2 linked regions of the Neurospora crassa OR74A genome follow. The protein of the gene in region 1 purifies or fractionates together with the protein of each later gene. This does not show direct contact. Links are inferred from orthologs where the notes say so. Each region holds a gene or a part of one and is shown in the gene's direction. Other genes may lie near its edges.

The links. The genes of interacting proteins can lie anywhere in the genome.
Region 2: the proteins of NCU01741 (region 1) and NCU11181 purify together in Saccharomyces cerevisiae (affinity purification with western blotting; 3 studies listed by BioGRID). This does not show direct contact. The link is inferred for Neurospora crassa OR74A from reciprocal best matches to the Saccharomyces cerevisiae genes BET1 and SAR1.

Annotation. Positions count from the first base shown.
Region 1 is NC_026502.1:2,582,012-2,586,865, reverse strand, and holds NCU01741 (SNARE complex subunit), read left to right. Parts: upstream 1-1,795; 5' UTR 1,796-2,010; coding exon 2,011-2,024; intron 2,025-2,632; coding exon 2,633-2,957; intron 2,958-3,055; coding exon 3,056-3,262; 3' UTR 3,263-3,760; downstream 3,761-4,854. Other genes in the region: NCU01740 (histone H2A.Z-specific chaperone chz-1), read left to right, coding at 1-142, 225-237, 337-503; NCU01742 (hypothetical protein), read right to left, coding at 4,104-4,854. UniProt on the Saccharomyces cerevisiae protein: SNARE required for targeting and fusion of ER-derived transport vesicles with the Golgi complex.
Region 2 is NC_026503.1:3,651,016-3,655,243, reverse strand, and holds NCU11181 (Ras superfamily GTPase), read left to right. Parts: upstream 1-1,247; 5' UTR 1,248-1,714; coding exon 1,715-1,733; intron 1,734-1,949; coding exon 1,950-2,093; intron 2,094-2,304; coding exon 2,305-2,370; intron 2,371-2,476; coding exon 2,477-2,817; 3' UTR 2,818-3,237; downstream 3,238-4,228. Other genes in the region: NCU00382 (hypothetical protein), read left to right, coding at 1-212; NCU11180 (patatin-like phospholipase domain-containing protein), read left to right, coding at 3,999-4,228. UniProt on the Saccharomyces cerevisiae protein: Small GTPase component of the coat protein complex II (COPII) which promotes the formation of transport vesicles from the endoplasmic reticulum (ER).

The DNA of each region.
Region 1 (4,854 bases):
TGACACCACCCTCGCGGGCACCGCCGAGGCCAACACCCCCTTTGAAAGCAAGGGCAAGGGCAAGGCCGCCGCTGAGTCCGAGGACCACCCCATGGGTGAGGCAGAGGACGACGAGGATGATGAAGATGAGGATGAGACTGAGGTGAGCTAAATCCTGAAGGCATCAAACTTGCTTCTCAAAACACTCTTCTTCGCATTGTCCGTGCTAACCCTTCCGTTTGCAGGAGCCCGAAGCTGGTACGTTAATTGCCTTTAAATCCATCAGCCAACGCCCAATCACGGGTGACGATCGCGCAGCAACAGCTTACGTACAGGAACTAACATGAACAAAAACAGAGGAAGACAACCTCGAGGAGATCGACCCCAGCAATGTGATCAGTGGTCCCCGCACTCGCCAGAAGGAGATCGACTATGCCAAGGCCGCTCAGGACTTGCCTGCCGAGGAGGACGATGAGGAGGACGACGAGGAGTTTGTGCCCGAGGATGAGGAAATGGAGGAGTAGTCCGAGGCTATCTTCTGATTTCCTTTGATGGTTCACAACAACAACAACAACAACAACAATGACAACAGATTCTTGTTTTCTTTCTTCCTGGGTTTCCCCGTTGGCTCTGCGCTTTGCTCGCTGCCAGTGGTTGAGTTTTATGATGATCACGAGCTTGGAGATGTAAGCCGTCTTTTGGCTGATTGCTAAGCCTGATTGGCTGGACCTATTTATGTACGTGAATGTCAGCTATAAGGCCTGGGGTTGTTTGGTTCAATGCGTTGGGAGTTCCCACAATCAGAATTTGGCAATACATGATAAGGGTGTAAGTGATCATTCGTTTATCAGTTCAGGTAGACCGATCTCTTCTGTCAGCCAATTTCAAAGTATCAACATACTACGTACGTTGGTGTATCAGAATACGCTTGATCGCTTGTCTTCACTAACCTAACCCCCATAAGTGGAGACATTGGATGATTCCCCTGTCAGCTCAAGGGCAGTTGGCCTGTTGAGATGGGGTGCCACTAAACTAACCGCGAGGCAGCCTGAAGGGGGTGATATGTCTACGGCTGACCTATGAAAAGGTAATATTCCGGCGAATTCTAGAGTTGCTATGACCATCGAGATTTGATATCGGTCCTGTTCCTGGAGTACACAGCAGACGTCAGGAACCGGAGCATCGCACCAGCCACCAACAAGGTTCGCGATCTTGGCCTGATCCACCGGGTATTCTACGCAGTACCATACACCAGCTTCTTTGACGCCAACATCTGTGAGAATGCATGCCTTCGACTTGGAAAGCTTCAACGATTCTGAAAGTCTCGGATTTGGGCTTAGATTCGCTTCAATAAGTCCATACTTGAGTCTATGCGCCTTGCGCAATCTAACGTGGATCAACTTATTGCTGACGCGACAAGCTGAGAGAGAAAAAAAAAAAAAAAAAAAAAAAAAAAAAGGTAGAGGAAGAATGGAGACGCTGAACGCCCAATTAGCCAATATCAGTGGAAGCAACACGGGCACCTCTCGGAGGGACTTTGAACAACGCCGAACATGAACCCTCCGACATAAAGAAAAATTGAATGATTAAAACCAGATACATTGGGGAAAATAGTGTCAAGTTCTCTCGGAGAGGAAGACGTGACACCAACCCAGATGTTCAATCAACGTGTCCTTGTCAGCATCATGCGGCACGAACAACATTGTACCTTTTAGCCATTACATATGTATCACCCAGACACGGACTGACGTTGTAGTTTATGTACATGGACGGCGCACCAAGGTAACATCTGGCCAGAACAGGCCTAACAACCACCCAAACTAAAAAGGGGGATCTGCCGGCGCTGGCGGCCAAGGGTCCACGGGCATTCAACTTTATTTTCTTTCTTCACCACCCGCACACCCCCCGCCCGACGCTACCTCTATGGAACCTGCCAATTCATCATCTCTAATACCTACCCACACTCTTACAAGTTAGCTAGCATTTACCTGTCAGGATTCTCGAAGACGGATCGACCTAAATTTGCTCTCCATGATGGCTTCCAGGTGAGTGCGATTCTCTTGTACGTTCGTCTTAGCATTGCACCACACCACACGCAAATGCCACCTTTCACATTTCGAAATGCGACTTGGCCTGTCAACTCGACCAAACCCACGACCGACACGCGATGAAGCGAGCGGCCGACCGAGCTGCCCGGCTCCGGTGAACGGGTGTACGATATTGCCACCGGAAGATATCTGCGGACCAAAGGCAGCAGCTATCGATGTTATGGTGGTTGGTTTGACAAGTCACGATTTCTCGACCTGCCCCCCCTGGTCATGGCGCGACGGCCTCAACTACGTCATCGCTCTGGTTTCAGAGTCTCGCCAACACGCCTCCAACCATGCCATGGTAGGATACGATACGAGTTCACTACCGTGATGTGATGCAGTCGCAACAGCGGCGCAACCACAGCAGCACTGGCGACGAGAGCGAGAATGACAGCGAAACCGAAAGCGTCAACTCGATCCATCCACCATGCCCCCGGGTCGTCCTCGATTCGACTTTGACCACCCACCACAACCCCCATCCCACCAACCCCTTAATCCTTCGAACAAGACAAGACAACACCCTTCTAACAATTAGTCCGCTTTTCTTTTTCTCCGGAGTACAGATTTGCACATTCCTCTCTACACCAGCGCGACCCGCGCAGCGACCTTTTCAAGGGCTACTCTGGCTCCAGCGCAGCCGAGCGCCGCTCGGCCAACGCCAGCCCAGCAAGGTATGGCGGTGGCGGCGGATACGGGTACGGGGGCGGCTATGGTGGCGGTGGGAGTTATAACGGCAGCTCGTCAACACTGGGGATGGAACGGGGCGGGTTTAGGCCTGCTACTCCAAATTCAAGGGGCCAGTACAGCGACGCAGTCCTCAACGAACTCGAGAGCCAGAATGATGAGCAGGTGGAAGGGATAATGGGTAAAGTCAAGATTTTGAAGGATGTATGTTTTTGTTCTCTCTTTCTGCTCTCCTCCCTCTCTCCCACTTCCTTCTCTCGCAAGCCACCCATCAACTAACCCCATCCCTCCCCCACAAACAGATGACTATAGCCATCGGCGATGAAATTCGAGACTCCTCCGCCCTCGCCGAGAAGATGAACGAATCCTTCGACCAAACCCGCCTCCGACTCCGTGGTACCATGAACCGAATGCTCATCATGGCACAGAAGACCAATGTCGGGTGGAGGGTGTGGCTTGCCTTTTTCGCTGCCGTGGTGTTCCTCTTTTTTTACGTGAGGTATCTCTAGTATCCTTCCAAGGTCAAGGTTTTTCTGAACTTGGAAGAGAGAAAAAGAAAGAAAAGAAAAAGACAAAGATGGAGGGATATGTTGGTCGGCGGAGTGGTCCTCCTGCTGCTGCTGCTGCTGCTGCTGCTGCTGCGCGGGGCAAAGCGATATGTTCAAGAATGATGGAAACGAGAAAAGAGACCATATATATGCAAAGGAAAGATGGGATAGTATATATATGGCTTTAACGATGGGTAATACCAATGGATGATGAGGAAAACGGAAGGTTCTAGGTCAAAGTGGCTGACTACCTTGTGGGATAGAAAAGGCATGGATATGGGTTGCCCTTGGTAGATTGCGGGCGGACTTGGTTTTTGCATGCTGGCGCCGGGGAGTTCGCGTTTGTTAAGTCGTTCGGGTAGTATCAGAAGTCGGTTTTTTTTGGTTTTTTTGTGGTACCTAATTATTTTAATCATTCTTAATCCGTTCTCCAACCAATGAGGTTCAATTATCTGGTTTAATCCACTGATCAATCATGAAGCTATATATGGGCTCCCACAAACGTGAAGTGGATAATCATTGAGCGTATAACAGACAGTTAATCAGAACTGCGTGTAGACTACCACTGCATAGACCAGACCATTGCTGTAACGAAGATCAAAGTTGTCTTTTGACGGACATTATCTATTCAATCCTGCTTCCCAAGCCACCAAGTAGCTACCCATACTGCCATGATCCCAAGACTCCATGCGCCAGACTCAAACGACCTGTTATTGAATGATGCTTGCTGACCGTTCCTACCACAACTCCTCAGTTTTAATCCTCCCTTGTTTCTCTTTCCGAACCACCGCGGACCTTCATTCTAGTGCAACCTCCTCACCCTTGGACTGCTTCTCATCATGGGACTACTCTCATCAACAGACAACAGCCCACTGATATCCAGACTGCTCCTTGGCGCTCCAATTGTGCTCCGCCTGGCATTTCCCGCAAGACTAGTCCTCAACAGCCGCTGCTGCTGCTGCTGCTGCTGTCTTGGCAGTGATACGCGGCGATGCTGGCCCTGCGCTGATCCCGCTGCCGAACCAGGTCCGTAGCTAACCCGGTGAGCGCGTCTGTGACTGCCGCTCATATTACCACCGCTACCACTGCTGCTTATGCCGATGCCTGCACCTGTACCGACTTGCTCTTGTCCTCCCTCGTTATCACTGCTGTCAAGAAGCTCCGCCTCGGAATCGGTATGCTCATAGAAACCGCTTTGCGCACGCTCCTCGTCCGCCTCTGGAATGTCGTCATCTAGGTTGGCGTTCATGCCTAGACTGTCGTCCGTCATGCCTCTGTCTTCGTCCGCATATTCTCCGCTGTTGTGAGAGCCGATGATGTCGTCCTCCTCTAGCATGTGAGCTTGGTCTTCCTCGTCAACGTCGTCGTCTTCGTCTGCGGCGCCATCGGTTAGATTGACGTGCGTGGGCCGGAGACCACCGCGGGCCATCATCTCGCGCATGCGTTCTTCGTTGGCACGCACGTTGGCTAGCTCGCGCTGTTGCTGTTGCTGCTGGTGAATATTGCTGTTGTCGTTGCGCCCGCGGGGATGGAGGATGGAGGAGCCGGTGCCC
Region 2 (4,228 bases), on another chromosome or scaffold:
ACGTTCGGGGTGCCATTGACATTGTCAAGGGTTTGGAGGAGAAGCGCCAGAGGCGCAAAGAAAAGTATTATCAAAAGTATTGCACCCGGGCCCGCAAGGAGAAGGCTCAGCCCAAGAGACCTCCTCCAGGACAAGGTGCCGAGCGCATGCGCGAAGTTGGTCTAATAATGGCTGGCAAGATCGGCCAGGGCAACTATGTTCTTTCTTATTAAACTCACGGCGAGGGCCGTTTATCAGCATTCACATGGCGAATTATACCCTGGGTTACAACGGCAACTGGAGAGGCATTTTTTTGATGTTTACCACGTTTGGCGGCAGCGGCTTTCTCTCGTCCGGCATTCGGTATTTACATTTTCATCCCCCGGCTCATTGATTACACCTTTTGTACCACCCGTTTCATTATAATTGCATACTCGAAGTTGCAAGCAAGCATCGGGTCGGCTTCCTTTGGGCTGTGCCTGGGCGGACATGTTCTGTATGTTCTTGTTCTTTTCTTGTTAACGTTTTTGTACATATTCTTTTTTTTTCTGCCTGCGCTTGCTCTACTTTTTCCACTTTCTACGTGGCACGCTGCTTTTTACAGAGCGCTCGTGTACACAATCGGACTCTCTGTAGAGGCGGAGATACGGATTTGATGGCCGGGGGTAGATATACCCTGCAGAACCTGTCTTGGAGTTTGAGACCTCTGGAGACGACGGGAGGATGGGAAGGGGACGAGACGGATGGCAACGGATTGGCAATAATCCGTATCAGCGATTGTGAGCTGACATCTTGGTTTGGACATACACAACCAAGTGCTGGGGTTGGGAAGGAAACTCGTCTATACATAACTATAGATCCTCCTCCTACATACCTCAAACAAAGAAGTAAAATTTTCAAAACAAGCCAATGTGTTCCTTTGCTTCATTCAGTGAACCTATTTCTTCGATGAACGTCTGGGATTACAGGCGAGAGCAGTGACGGCGTCTTGACGGGAGATTTGTCGGACTGAGCGGGTGGCATCTGGAACCCTCCTTCTCCTGAATCTTGCATCAATGCCACCTGCATGGCTTCTTGATGCGGTTGCTACGGTCGCTTTGGCAGCTGCAGGCGGGCGTGCATGTGTGGTAGTTTACAGGTACTTATTTCCCGCTGTTTTCTTTTATTTTCTTCCTTTCTTTTGGGCGGTGACGGGCCTTTTGGGCGGTTGTGCCGGGGATTTTGCCCCTGAACGGGCCGTCTTGCTTCCCCCCCCCCCCCCCCCCCGACTGCCCCACGGGCATGCTCGCTCACTGCACCAAGCAAAAAAGGGGAGGAAAAAAGACAGGTCACGTGTGAATGCCTGAAATACCAGGCCAACAGTCACAAGACTATTGCAGGGGCCAGTCCAGCGCTGTCCTCGCCTGCCGTATCGTTCATGCCAGCAGTGCACTTCTGGGCTCGCGTGGGTCATTGAACCTTCTATGGACATCTTTCCTTGTAGCGTGTGCCCGACCGCCTTCGATCCGCCGCCGCCCCGTACACTTTTGTCATAGCTTCCAGCTGCTTTCGCATCGCAACATCCACGACGCCAGCAACGAAGCCTCATCAACACCCTCGCTACGATTTCGCCGGTCCCTCTTTGTGTGCCTAACACTTTACCGGCGCTTTGCACGACTACCTGTTCTTCTAGAACTCCTCGACTTTCCCGTATCATCGACAAAAGAGGTGTTTTCTAGATAATCATTTCGTCACCATGTGGTTGTGGTCTTGGTGTATGTTGTCGCATCCCTATCCCATCCGTCGCCCACGTTACCTACCCAAACTTCCCGTCATCCCTTCGTTCATCACTGTCGTGCACCATGGATATGGAAATGCATAGCATGAACATGCGGACTGCTGGGGATTTGGGAAGGGGTTGTTCATGATGATATTGGACGAACACGTCTGGAAACTCGCAAAGCTGACATGATGGCGCCACCAACAAACAGTCTACGATATCCTTTCCAACCTCGGCCTGCTCAACAAGCATGGCAAGCTGCTCTTCCTGGGTCTCGACAATGCCGGAAAGACCACTCTTCTACACATGTTGAAGAATGATCGCGTTGCCATTCTCCAACCTACTCTTCATCCGAGTCAGTTCAACCACCTGCAGCTGCCACCTGCCACTGTTTCTCCGTCAACGCCGGGACCTTGATACCCGAGCACCTTCCGCCTTCTCCCCCTTCGCCTCGACTCTTCCCGTCCCTACTCCCGTTCCTGGCTCCATACACCGAATCAGATATGCGCGCACATGTGAGGGCGAGATGTTTAGAGAATAATTATGGCTGACATGATTCGTTGTAGCTTCGGAGGAGCTTTCTGTCGGCAACGTCAAGTTCACCACTTTCGATCTTGGCGGTCATCAGCAGGGTGAGTGGATAATCATCTCCTATTTAGGGCTTATGTCAAATCCTCTCGGGACATTGACAAGCCGCTCTACTGCTGCGGTCTCGACTAACAAATGACGTATCTACAGCCCGTCGTCTTTGGAAGGATTACTTCCCCGAAGTAAACGGTATCGTTTTCCTCGTGGACGCCAAGGACCACGAGCGTCTCCCCGAGGCCAAGGCCGAGATCGACGCGCTCCTCTCGATGGAGGAGTTGGCCAAGGTTCCCTTCGTTGTGCTCGGCAACAAGATTGACCATCCCGAAGCCGTCTCTGAGGACGAGCTCAGGCAGAGACTCGGGCTCTGGCAAACGACCGGCAAGGGCAGGGTTCCTCTCGAGGGCATCCGCCCCATCGAGGTGTTTATGTGCTCTGTGGTTATGAGACAGGGATACGGAGAGGCTATCAGGTGGTTGTCCCAGTACGTTTAAGGGGTCTGATGAAATGCGGAGCAGCACAGGATGGTTGTCAGGTAATAACATTTTGTAATATGATACGATGATGACAATGAAGGAACTGGAGGGTCTCGCGATATCAAAAATTGACGGGCGTATTTTCACAATGAACAGATACGCACGAGGCTTATCAGACACAAATGGGACGTTGGAGGGACTAGTGTACGTTTGACCACTGCCGTTATCTGGCTCTAACGGTATAGGTTATCTTTTGCTCTCCGTCAGATTCCGGTACCTATAGCTTGTTCTATTCCCTTAGTAACACGGTGTCTACCTAGCCCGGCCCGAGTTTGAGCGGTCATTCTAGCAATCTGTAGAATCATTGTATGTACGGATGAACGTGAACATCTCCAACAAAGCCTAGTCTAGTTCTCGAATGACAAGGATTCGTTCCGGAGTGATTCCCCAGTAAGAACACGTGTATGCCATCATTTGTTGGGCTGGAACGCATGTGCAGAAGAGACACTACTAGTACGTAGCCCGGCAAGAGCCCCGTCCTCGGCTTCGCCCGCCCACTAAACATGTACACAGTACACTATTCCGGGCGAGGGTCGACCGACGTCATCCAACAATCTGCCACCCGACCCGCGCAACTCCAACGCTTCCGGCACCAGGACTGACATCAAGAACGATCAAGCACCGACCATTGCGCCAGCAACCAGCGTTGTATCCCGATCACCTTGAACAATTCTTTCCTTTGTAACCCCCTTATCGTCAAATCCCTCTTTCAGTCCGTGTCACCTTTCTGTCCAGCCATTCCCTGTGGCTTGTTTCAGGGTGGATCAGTCAGAAGATCAAAAAGCCAGAAGGCTTCGATCATCATCAGCTACATATACAGGACCAAGACGCCGAAGATTCCACTTCGCATGCTTCCCTGGCCATTAGCCGATATCATTTAGTGACGACGTCGACGATCCTTGAAGCATCTGCCAAGCGTTTACTGTGCTTGGATTCCTGTCCCTTTTTCCCTACAGTTCGCAATCTCGTTTGCGACTTGCTGTTTTTTGATTACGCGACAACTCGAACAGAACGAAAAGCCTCCTGTCTTGATATCGCAACTGTCTGGGCTTGTCCGAGCTACCTACATCTATCTGTTTCAGCTACTTGAGCCATTATACCTGATATATCGCGGACAGAAAAGCATCACCTTCCGTGTCATGGCCGACGACACAGACAACCCACCAAACATCCAAATACCAGCAAAGTCGTATGGTTTCCCGCCAGAAGCCTTTGACCCCAGACGGCTTCCCGACTATGATACCAATTTTCTACCCGCTCACGACCTCGAAGCTTTTATCCAAGCCCTCGCGGCGCCCGACTTCGTCCAATCACCAGACGATGCATCATCTATGCGTCTCAACAGCCCAGGTCTCCATAGCCCCAGCAG